2 linked regions of the Arabidopsis thaliana genome follow. The protein of the gene in region 1 interacts with the protein of each later gene in a pairwise test. Each region holds a gene or a part of one and is shown on either strand. Other genes may lie near its edges.

Region 1 (4,579 bases):
AGCATAATTCGGTTGATTTTTATTTTATTTTATTCTGATTGATAGAAACTGGAAAGTAAGATGAATTGGACATTAAAAAAAAAAAAAATCCCTTTAAATTTGAGCTAATTATAGCAACTAGTCAGATCCTTCTTTTTTTTCTTTGAACAGAAAAAGAATCGCCAAAAAAAGAAAAAGATGTACTTATTTAGCGAAAATATTTTTCGTAGTAAAAAAACTTCTTTCAATATCTTTGCTTGAATGTGACCATTTCTATTGCACATACAAAAAAACGACTATAAAAAGGACCCACAGTGATTATGAAAATCAGATTGACGAAAAGTTTGTGTGTCTGATTCCAATCATATTGATCCAATTCATTCATCATATTCGATGGTTGTCAAAGCATATAGCTGGATTAAGTGGGGCACAACACTGAAAACGTTTCTCAACCGTATGATGTCATTTCAGCCTTTGGTTTTCTCAACGTTTAATCGGTGACCGTCAATTTCTTTTCAATCTCTATAATCATTTCTTCTTTTGGCGTGTCACTGGGACCTTCACTGTCAATGCTGAATTAATCTCCTTTAAGGATTTGAAGGCAAGAAAAATCTTGTTGCAACTAATAAAAGGAATCGATTTTGATGCTCATTAATCGACCTTTATGACCAAAATGGGTCTATATGAAATAATTATATGATTTGACAAGTAACCATTTGATTTACAAATTATTCAACGATTTAGCATTACAAAAACATCTAACCATGCTTAATGTATGATGTTATTCATTTTAAAAAGTCGAATGAAACCCATGTTTATCTCAATGCATGATTTAATAATTTTATTATACATGCACATAATTCTACATTTTTAATTAATTTTATTAGTTTAATAATAATAATTAATTTTCTTTTTTTACACTTGTTATAGGTGAGAAATGAAAGTTATCATAATACAAAACATCAGTTTTTATAAAACCAAATAAAACTCAAAAATCATTCAGACAAATAAGTTTATGGACTTATGGTATATGATGATACTCTCTCAACATCCTCATTAACATCATCACTATTAAGTTAACAAAAAGAAAAAGAAAACATCATTATAAGTTATTAATAAGTTTAAATAGTAGTATTTTATATTCTGGTACAATGTACTGTTTTTGGTCATTAAGTGGTTCAACGACAAAAGTAAAACTCATGCGGTCGACCCATGCGTTAGAAGAAGAAAATCTGAAAAGAAGTTTGAATTCTTTAATTTTTTCATAAAAAGAAGTTTGAATTCAATTCAACCGTTTTTGTTTAGTTCTTCTTTAATTAACTTTATCACTAATGTTTAAAAGTAAAAGGTTTTTAAAGTGTGCAACAAGCGTGACTCTTTGGCCTTTAGAGTCATCAAGAAGGGTAATCATTTTTTTTACTCTTTCTCGACAATAGCAATCAAATTATCATTCCCACTTTTAATAATCTCATAAAATAAAGTCAATCATAGTTAAAATTTGATAAATTCCATGGAAATGATAAAAATTTGATTTTACTATTGTTGGATGTGCAATTGTTCATGGTAACTTACTAATTTATATGCTTTATTAGTTGCAGATAGTGATATATATCGAAAAATGAAAGATCTAATTCCAATAATTGTCAAAGAGGATTTCTAAATTTCTGTTTGACTAGGTCATATATTCTCACGACTCAACGATCTAACCAATCACCTACAACAGAAAATTTGGTTGAAATAAAACGAAAAGTGATAAGTCCAAATGTTTAAAACAAAAAAAAAGTAAACAAAAGGCAAAATAAGATAACTACGATTAGATTTTGTTCTCGCCTTATGAATATCCTAAAAATTATCTATTAGTGATAGTTTGATAATCATCTTTGACTGAGAAAATTGATGTCACATAAACATTAATATAGTATCAACATTAATCATTAATGATGCGACTATAATTATTATTTTATCACAATTTCTTAGATTTGATAATTTGTTTAGGTTTGAGAGAGTTATATAGAGGGGGACAAAGAAGCAAAGTTTGTGATTATAAAATTATTTCCATTGAACTAAAGTTTTCAATAGTTTATTCTTGACTTTAATAATAATAACTATTTTGCCCCCAGCTAGTCACATACTCATGATTGCAAAATCTCTCTCTCTCTCTGCCTCTCTATATATTAACCTTTCTTCTTCCTTTACTTTCTCATCTTCTATCTCTCAAAAGAAAAGCAGACAACTTTATTTGCAAAAACAGAGTTTTTTTTTCTTATCTTGAGAAAGTTCAACAGAAGATGATGTTCGAGAAAGACGATCTGGGTCTAAGCTTAGGCTTGAATTTTCCAAAGAAACAGATCAATCTCAAATCAAATCCATCTGTTTCTGTTACTCCTTCTTCTTCTTCTTTTGGATTATTCAGAAGATCTTCATGGAACGAGAGTTTTACTTCTTCAGGTACTTCATCGCTTTCTTCGTTCCTCTGTTTTTTTTTATTTTTCCCCGGAAAAAACCTTAAAGGTCTCACCTTTTACTCTACTTTTCAATCTTATGCATGCAGTTCCAAACTCAGATTCGTCACAAAAAGAAACAAGAACTTTCATCCGAGGAATCGACGTGAACAGACCACCGTCTACAGCGGAATACGGCGACGAAGACGCTGGAGTATCTTCACCTAACAGTACAGTCTCAAGCTCTACAGGGAAAAGAAGCGAGAGAGAAGAAGACACAGATCCACAAGGCTCAAGAGGAATCAGTGACGATGAAGATGGTGATAACTCCAGGAAAAAGCTTAGACTTTCCAAAGATCAATCTGCTATTCTTGAAGAGACCTTCAAAGATCACAGTACTCTCAATCCGGTAATTTTTTTCTTCTTTTACTTATTGTTTCACCCGAGAAAGTTTGGTTTTACTGGGAAAATTAATGGCTATGATAAATTGTGGAAACGAAAAAAGAACGCGTTAATGAAATATTCACATTAAAATGACTATTGTTACATGTTGACCAAAGAAAAAACATTACTACTACTATTTGTTTCGGTCTCTCATAAATGCAGATATTAATTTATAAATGGCATTTTGGTAAATGTAGACTGATATCAAGGTTTTTTTCAACTTTTTTTCACAGAAGCAGAAGCAAGCATTGGCTAAACAATTAGGGTTACGAGCAAGACAAGTGGAAGTTTGGTTTCAGAACAGACGAGCAAGGTAAATAAAACACACACAAACAAAAGATCTCTCTATTTGCCTGATTTATCTATTTTCTTATAAGGGTATTTTGGTAAATGTTTAACAGAACAAAGCTGAAGCAAACGGAGGTAGACTGCGAGTTCTTACGGAGATGCTGCGAGAATCTAACGGAAGAGAACCGTCGGCTACAAAAAGAAGTAACGGAATTGAGAGCACTTAAGCTCTCTCCTCAGTTCTACATGCACATGAGCCCACCCACTACTTTGACCATGTGCCCTTCATGTGAACACGTGTCGGTCCCGCCACCACAACCTCAGGCTGCTACGTCAGCGCACCACCGGTCGTTGCCGGTCAATGCGTGGGCTCCTGCGACGAGGATATCTCACGGCTTGACTTTTGACGCTCTTCGTCCTAGGTCCTAAGTCTTTTTACTTGCAACCAAAGGGCATTTTGGTCGTTTTTTAAGTTTCATGGACCAGATATGCATGTAGTTGTTAACATGTATGTATTTTCTTAGAAAGAAAGAAAAACAGATTAATATTTTTCTAGCTTAAACCAACATATATGTGTCATGCTAACAAGTAACAACAAATATTTAGAGCCAATGCTATCAGATATTATGACTTTGAAATCATTTTGTTTTGTTTTGTTGCAATAAATATTTTGGACAAAACTATCACAAGAAACTTTATTGCAATAATATTTATAGTGTCTAGCGAGTAGCCACAAACCAAGAAGTACAATTGATGTAGGAAATGCAAAAGAAAATTAAATGGTCCAAATTGTTTCATGTGGCTATGTGAAAAATATTAAATAGTGGGCTAAAAATAGTTGAAATTTCTAAAAGTTTTTCCAGGATTTTTTTTTTTTTTTTTTTTGTTAAACTTAAAAACTTAAAACTTATACTTTGGGCCCAAGTGTTCCTGGCATTACCATTACAACTATAAGTGAGAAAGAGATTACCATATGTCATACATGAGTATGGGCAAAGTTTAGGCCTTATTGAACATGTAGGTTAGGCTATGGGCCACTTCTTGGGTTTGAAAGGTTAACGCAAGTGCTTATCCCCACTACATGTTAAATTTAAAACTCTGATTTTTCAATGGTGTTGAATTGGACTGCTCTGAGATGTTGAAAATGCTAGATGATCAATAGGATTGGATACGTTTAACGTATTTAGGATATACTAGGCCATGAAGTAGTAATATTTGTACTAATTGTCTTGCTAAAAAGGTAAGAGCATGAGGGTTCATGTTTTCCTATGTAAGCAGCTTGGTGTCGGATTTACTCTCTTTGGAGAGTAGCCTCTTCTCATCGGAGCATTGATCTATAACGTTTTAGCCGCAAAGAACAAAAACCCCGAAAAAGATGATCTCATGATCATGTTCAAATCTAGAAACATAAAGAGGGGTATCAATCT
Region 2 (6,250 bases), on another chromosome or scaffold:
TTTAATTTTTTTTCTTTCTCAATCGGACTTTAGTTGAGTATATTTCGACGTTACCAATGTTAGTGAATAAACGTTATCGATGTTAGCGAATAACAACATATACAAAACCTCAAATGAGAGGTTTATCGAACCAGATTAACTAAGCATATATTTCAATTTCAAAAATCTACCAAATAGCAAGTAGGCACGTAAAGACCATAAACTTTCGGTGAAGTTGATTTTTATCAATATCAAGACAATTTCTAATCGTGAAAAAGAATTAGAATATAATTAAAATTTATGTTTAATTTTGCAATTTTGATTTGTATTTTATTAGTTATTTTCTAAAGTTATATTTTTTTTAGGATTGTTGTCACTGAAAATTTTAATATGTTTAACCAGCCTAGGGTTATTTTTTCTCTGTTGGCATATGTAGTTTTACCATTTTTTATAAAATTTTATGATAACAAAAAGAAAAAAAAAAGAAGAAGAAGGTAACTTGACCATTTGCTGTATATTTAATTATCTTTTGTCCCCAAAAAAATTTATATAACCATTTGGTATATATAGCAAACTCATATTTAGCATGAAAAACCAATAATTGTATTCACTCTATTTTGAGTATATCAGAGATTATTGCCAAAGACTGATTCTCATAATTACAAAATCTCGTTTTTGGATATTTGACTTTGTCATATATAGACTATAGTTGATGTAAGCAATTGCGAATCAAAAATTTTAACCGGAAATGGAAACAAATTCAGAATAGAAGAAATTAATCAAGAACATATACAATATATTTAACTTATATTTCGTTCATAAAAATTCATTTATAGAAAAAAATCAAATTTTTTTATTTATAATTATTGTATCATAAAAGATAATATTTCTCTGTGAATTGAAAGATTAATATTCCATTAAAACAAAACTAATTAAAATCTTTATTTATTATTTTTTTAGCCTCTGGTAACTACAATTTGCTGGATCAGCCATCAACAAGGGGCCTATTACAATTTTGAATCATGTCATTTGGTTCAATGGGCTTTAGTGCACCCATCAGATTTGAAAACATGGGTTTTTGATTCAGCCCAAAGTTAACTTGTTAGCCCAATGTTAAAATTAGCCCCAGCTGATGAAATGACAAAACTACCCTTATCGCCTCCGTCATCTAAATCAGCCCTACCACTGGCGAGTTTCTGAAAATCGGCAAATCCCCGGCGACTTGGCAAACACTTTTCCGGCGTGGCTTCGCCTCCGCGAGCATTGTGATGACGTCTCTAATCGATGGTCTATCCTTCGGTAGCTTCGCGGTGCAGAGAAGAGCGATTCGCAGTGCCAGGAGCATCTCTTCGATCACGTGTTTACAATCTCCGGCGATGCTCGCGTCGATCACTTCTTCCAAGCTCTCGTTCTTCTTCACCTTCCTCCGAATCCACTCAACCACGTCAATCGAATCCTCAAACGAAGGATCTATCGGCATTTTCCCAGTCACCAATTCCAGAAGCACAACGCCTAGACTGTATATATCACTCTTTTCGTCAATCTTCAGTGTGTATCCGTACTCCGGCGCTATATACCCGTAAGATCCAGCCACCATAGAAACGGTCTCGTTCTTATGAAGCATCATCTTCGCCAATCCGAAATCTGCTATCCTCGCTTCAAGGTTTGAATCGAGGAGGATGTTATTAGACTTGATGTCTCTGTGAATGATCGGAGGATAGCAATCGTTGTGCAAGTAATTGAGACCTTGAACGACTCCGACGGCGACATTGTATCGTGAGAGCCAATCTCTTAGTAAGAATTTCTCATCTTTGGAATGCAAAGCAGTTCCTAGGTTTCCATTGGGCATGTACTCGTATACCATCATCACTTCTCTCTCGTTGTGAACGTAACCTAGAATCTTCACAATGTTTCTATGTCGTAGACCACCAAGTAGGTTCACTTCTCTGAGTATGTCGTCCTCTTCATCTTCTTCTTGATGATGATCTTCGATATCATTTTGTGGTGATGGTGATCTCCACAGTTTTTTCACAGCTACAGTGAGTAATGGCCGTCTCATGACTTCTGCTTTGTAAACAATCCCTATGGCTCCCATTCCAATGATGTTTGATTCTTTGATATGTGATAAGATGTCTCCTGCAGTGAAGCACAGTCTCTGGAAAGCCACGAGTCTCCATGGCCATTCCTCCCGAGGTTTCTTGCAGAATATATACTCTCTAGCAAAGTTGCTGTAAAGATCCCATCTTGTGTATATCCATCTCCCTGCCAAGAACATCATCCCCATAGCCACGATGACTGAAGTTCCAACAATGAACCCGAAGACTGCGTGATTCACGTGAATTCTCCCTGGATTTCGGCCTTTTGCTGACAAAGCTAGGCTCTTAGAGCAAGGTGGTAGAACTCCACCGCATAAGCCATTGTTTCCCACGAGGTCTTTTGGGTCTATGGCTGCAAACAGCATGTTTGAAGGAATGGGTCCGTCGAGTTTGTTGAATGACACGTTTAACATCTCCAGTGTTGGAGAAGCTCCCAAGTCCGCTGGTATATTCCCCGTCAAAGAGTTGTTTGAGAGATCAAGAACAGCTAACATGTGCATCCCGGCTAATGCCTTAGGGATTTCTCCAACCAATTGGTTGCTCTTGAGATTTAGACTCACAAGTTTTTCAAAAGAAGCGATCCTTTCTGGGATTCCACCTGAGAAATGGTTGAAGGAAAGATCGAGGACAGACAAAGATGGACGATCTTGAATCTGGTTAGGAATTTTTCCGGCAAAGTTGTTATGTGAGGCAATGAAGGTTTGAAGATTAGGACTTGAGAAAATGGAGGAAGATAGGGATGAGAGATGATTAAATGATATGTCTATAAATGAGAGTGATGTGGATAAGGCTATATCATCTGGAATTTTACCGGTGAGGTTGTTTTTTGCGAGCTCTAGATGCTGAAGCATTGGTAAGTCACCTGAACCAGCTGGTATAGATCCGGAAATGTGATTTTTCTGGATTCGAACACGAACTAAAGTCGGACATGAGAAGATTTCCTCCGGAATCTGACCTGAGAATGAGTTGTTGAAGAGAATGAGCTTTGTGAGGTTTCTGGAATAGCACAATCCTGATGGTATATCTCCTGAAAGCTTGTTTGATGAGACGTCTAACCACTTCAATGGGGAATTTTTGCCGAGATGCACCGGTAATGAACCCATGAGAGAGTTCTGCCACAGCTCAAGAACCTCAAGGTTTGGTAATTCAGCAATTTTTGACGGAATGATTCCCGTGAGTTGATTCCTCATCAAATTTAGAAGCTGCAGATTCTTCAACTCACCTACTTCCATAGGTATTTCTCCTGTGATCTGGTTATCAGACAGATCAAGAAACACAAGAGAAGTCATACCACCAAGTTCTCGAGGAAGTTTCCCTGTGAGACGGTTCTGGTAGAGATAAACTGTTGTAAGTTGTTTCAGCTGCCCCAAAGAAGATGGAATCTGGCCTGTAAGGTTTCCAACAGCCAAATCAAGGTACTGAAGGCGCGTCAATTTCCCAAACTCTTCTGGAATCTCACCCATGAAGCCATTGTAACCAAGAATAATGGTCTCCAAGGAAGAGAGCTCACCAATCACCTTCGGTACCTTTCCACCAAAGTTGTTACCCGAAAGACCGAGAAACTTCAGATTCTTGAGATTCTTGAAAGAAGAAGGCACTGAGCCCTCGAAGTAACCTCCTCGAAAGTCCAAAACCTCAAGTGTAGTTGCGTTGCCAAGATCTTCAGGTAGAAACCCCGAAAAATTGTTGCTTGAGGCATTGACGTGTGTAAGACCAGTTGCCATTCCTAGACCATAAGGGAAGGTTCCAAAGAAGCTGTTCACACTCACATCAATGACCTTCAAAGACGTGAGATTAGAAAGAGATTTAGGAAGAGAAGACTCAAATGCGTTATTGCTGAGATCAAGGGCTTGCAGAGAAGGGAAGCTCTGAATCTGATCTGACACGTTTCCGCTGAGATTCATGTTGGAGAGAAGAAGCTTAGCCACATAGCCATTTGCATCACAGTGAACTCCTGTCCAATGACAATGAACCAACTCAGAAAATGTTGTGGCATTCTCAGGTCTCTTCCAATCTTGGAGATTATTTGAAGGATCAAAAAGGTCTGACTTGAAGGCCAACAAGATCTCTTGTTCGGAGTTTTGAAATGTTTCAGAAGAAACAAAAGGGAAAAGAGCGAAACCAATGTAATAGAAGAGGAAGAAAAGTCGAGGGATCGCCATTTTTCTCCTCTATTTCTTCACTTTTTGGCTAGTTTTATGGCATTTTTGTGCAACTGAGATTGAAGGTCCCCAAGCGAAGTTGATAATAAGAGAGTGGAAACCAAAAGCTGAAAAACAATGATTAGTCAGAATCTAATTTTATTTAATCTCTCTCAATTATTTTATCATGATTGTGTTTCTTTTTCGTTCGGTGGAATAATATGCGAGTTCCATTGGCGTCATAACAATTTGTATGATAGCAAGTAGTTCGCTTTGTTTCTGCATCTGTGACATTACATAGTAGAAAAAGTGATACAATTTCCTTGATGTTTTCATCTATCTTCGTGTGTTAAATTGTGAATTGTGTTTGAGAAAACGAAATTAGATTATAAGTTTGTTTCATATGCATACCCAAATGCTAAATTGTGAATAAAGTCGAACCGAAAATTTTGAGGAGCACTAATTCCATAACCATATCCTGAAGGATTATCTTGCTGATCTGTGCAATATCAAACAACTAAGCGGTGAGAAAGAAGATTAAAATAATGATAATGGGATATATAATATGAAGAAATCGTGGGTTTCTGAACAGCTAGCTAAATCATAAAACACTGAGTGACTTGTAAAGCTTTGTCCTCATTAGAGATTTGTGGGACAGTGAAACATGGGCAGAGAATGTGTCTCACTTACTGTCCAATATAACTATTTTCTATTCAAAGATGATGGCTAATTAGGCAAGATCAAAGTCTTTTAAGAAAACTACCATTTTAGTTCTACCTCACCAATGATTTGACACAAACAATGTTTTTTTACAAATGATTTAACTTCACTTAAATATGAGTAACTAAAGAACGCAAAGTTTTTATTGGTTATAAGGTTAGTTATATCATCCTTGGCGGTCGAGCTAGGTTGAGTTTCCGCATGTCTTCATTAGTCGGGAGAATGTTTTGTTTCGAATGGCGTCATTAAAAAAACACACATGAAAGATGATGGTCGTGAGAGAATCTTCCCACGTTGTTCCAACATAATTAAAATTAGGAAATAAGAAAGTTCATAACTCCATTGCCAAGTTGCAAGTAGCTAGGAACGTCCCATGACACCTACGTAGAGACTAGAGAGATATACATACATCAAATATATCTACTTACACATGCATTGAAAAAAAAAAATACAAATACATTAATTAAATTATTGCATTCATGTAGACATATATGTTTTTCTAGATCTTATAAACACAGATTTTAATGTTTTTCAAAATACGATTATCAGAATTTTTTTTTCTCTGTATATTAGTTTGAGTTGAGAGATTTAAGGCCATACATATGATATATGCATAAAGTTTGCATATTAATGCATTTTTAGACAAGGAGCTTCAATAAACTATGCATATGACATCAAGACGTAACTGAATATGTAGCCCTAAGTCCGTAACCGAATTTGTTTATATTCGTGTGGTTGCAACTTGTGAGTAAATATGCATGCTGATTGCGTGAAGAACAAAGTAGCATTAAGTGCTCTCACGATATCAAAATAAAGTTTAGAACCATCGAAAAGGGCCATCTATCATTTTTATTTTGTTCTTAAAATCTAAAACATATATATTCGATCGGATATACCCATTAAATGAATGAATCATGTTCACATTAGAAGAATCACCATAATTGATCCCAAAAACTATATGAAACATATTCTCGTGAGTGTATAGACTTTTTGGAGATCGATATCTTAATTAATACATCTAGCACAACTCTATATATTCTTGCGGATTAACATCTAAATTTTACGTACCTCGAGCATATATATCCATTATCGACTATCGAGTATCGACTATCGGTTCGTCCAACACATTTAATTGTTGTAGGTTTGCAAGGTAGATATGGACAGTACCTCTAATTAAAGTTCTTTGTCCTTTCAAATTTATCCTCTATTATCATATTCATAAGAAGGAAAAAATAATTGCTCAAATCTAACTTTATAATATGCCCTTTCATATTTCACATGCACCCATATGGGACTTTTTATCATAATCAACAT

Evidence for each region.
Region 2: the proteins of HB-2 (region 1) and AT1G08590 interact in a two-hybrid assay, tested with the Arabidopsis thaliana proteins (one study listed by BioGRID).

Annotation. Positions count from the first base shown.
Region 1 is NC_003075.7:9,447,024-9,451,602, forward strand, and holds HB-2 (homeobox protein 2), read left to right. Parts: upstream 1-2,090; 5' UTR 2,091-2,267; coding exon 2,268-2,427; intron 2,428-2,530; coding exon 2,531-2,829; intron 2,830-3,097; coding exon 3,098-3,177; intron 3,178-3,265; coding exon 3,266-3,581; 3' UTR 3,582-3,882; downstream 3,883-4,579. UniProt on the Arabidopsis thaliana protein: Probable transcription factor involved in the negative regulation of cell elongation and specific cell proliferation processes such as lateral root formation and secondary growth of the vascular system.
Region 2 is NC_003070.9:2,716,846-2,723,095, reverse strand, and holds AT1G08590 (Leucine-rich receptor-like protein kinase family protein), read right to left. Parts: upstream 4,559-6,250; 5' UTR 4,238-4,558; coding exon 1,148-4,237; 3' UTR 816-1,147; downstream 1-815.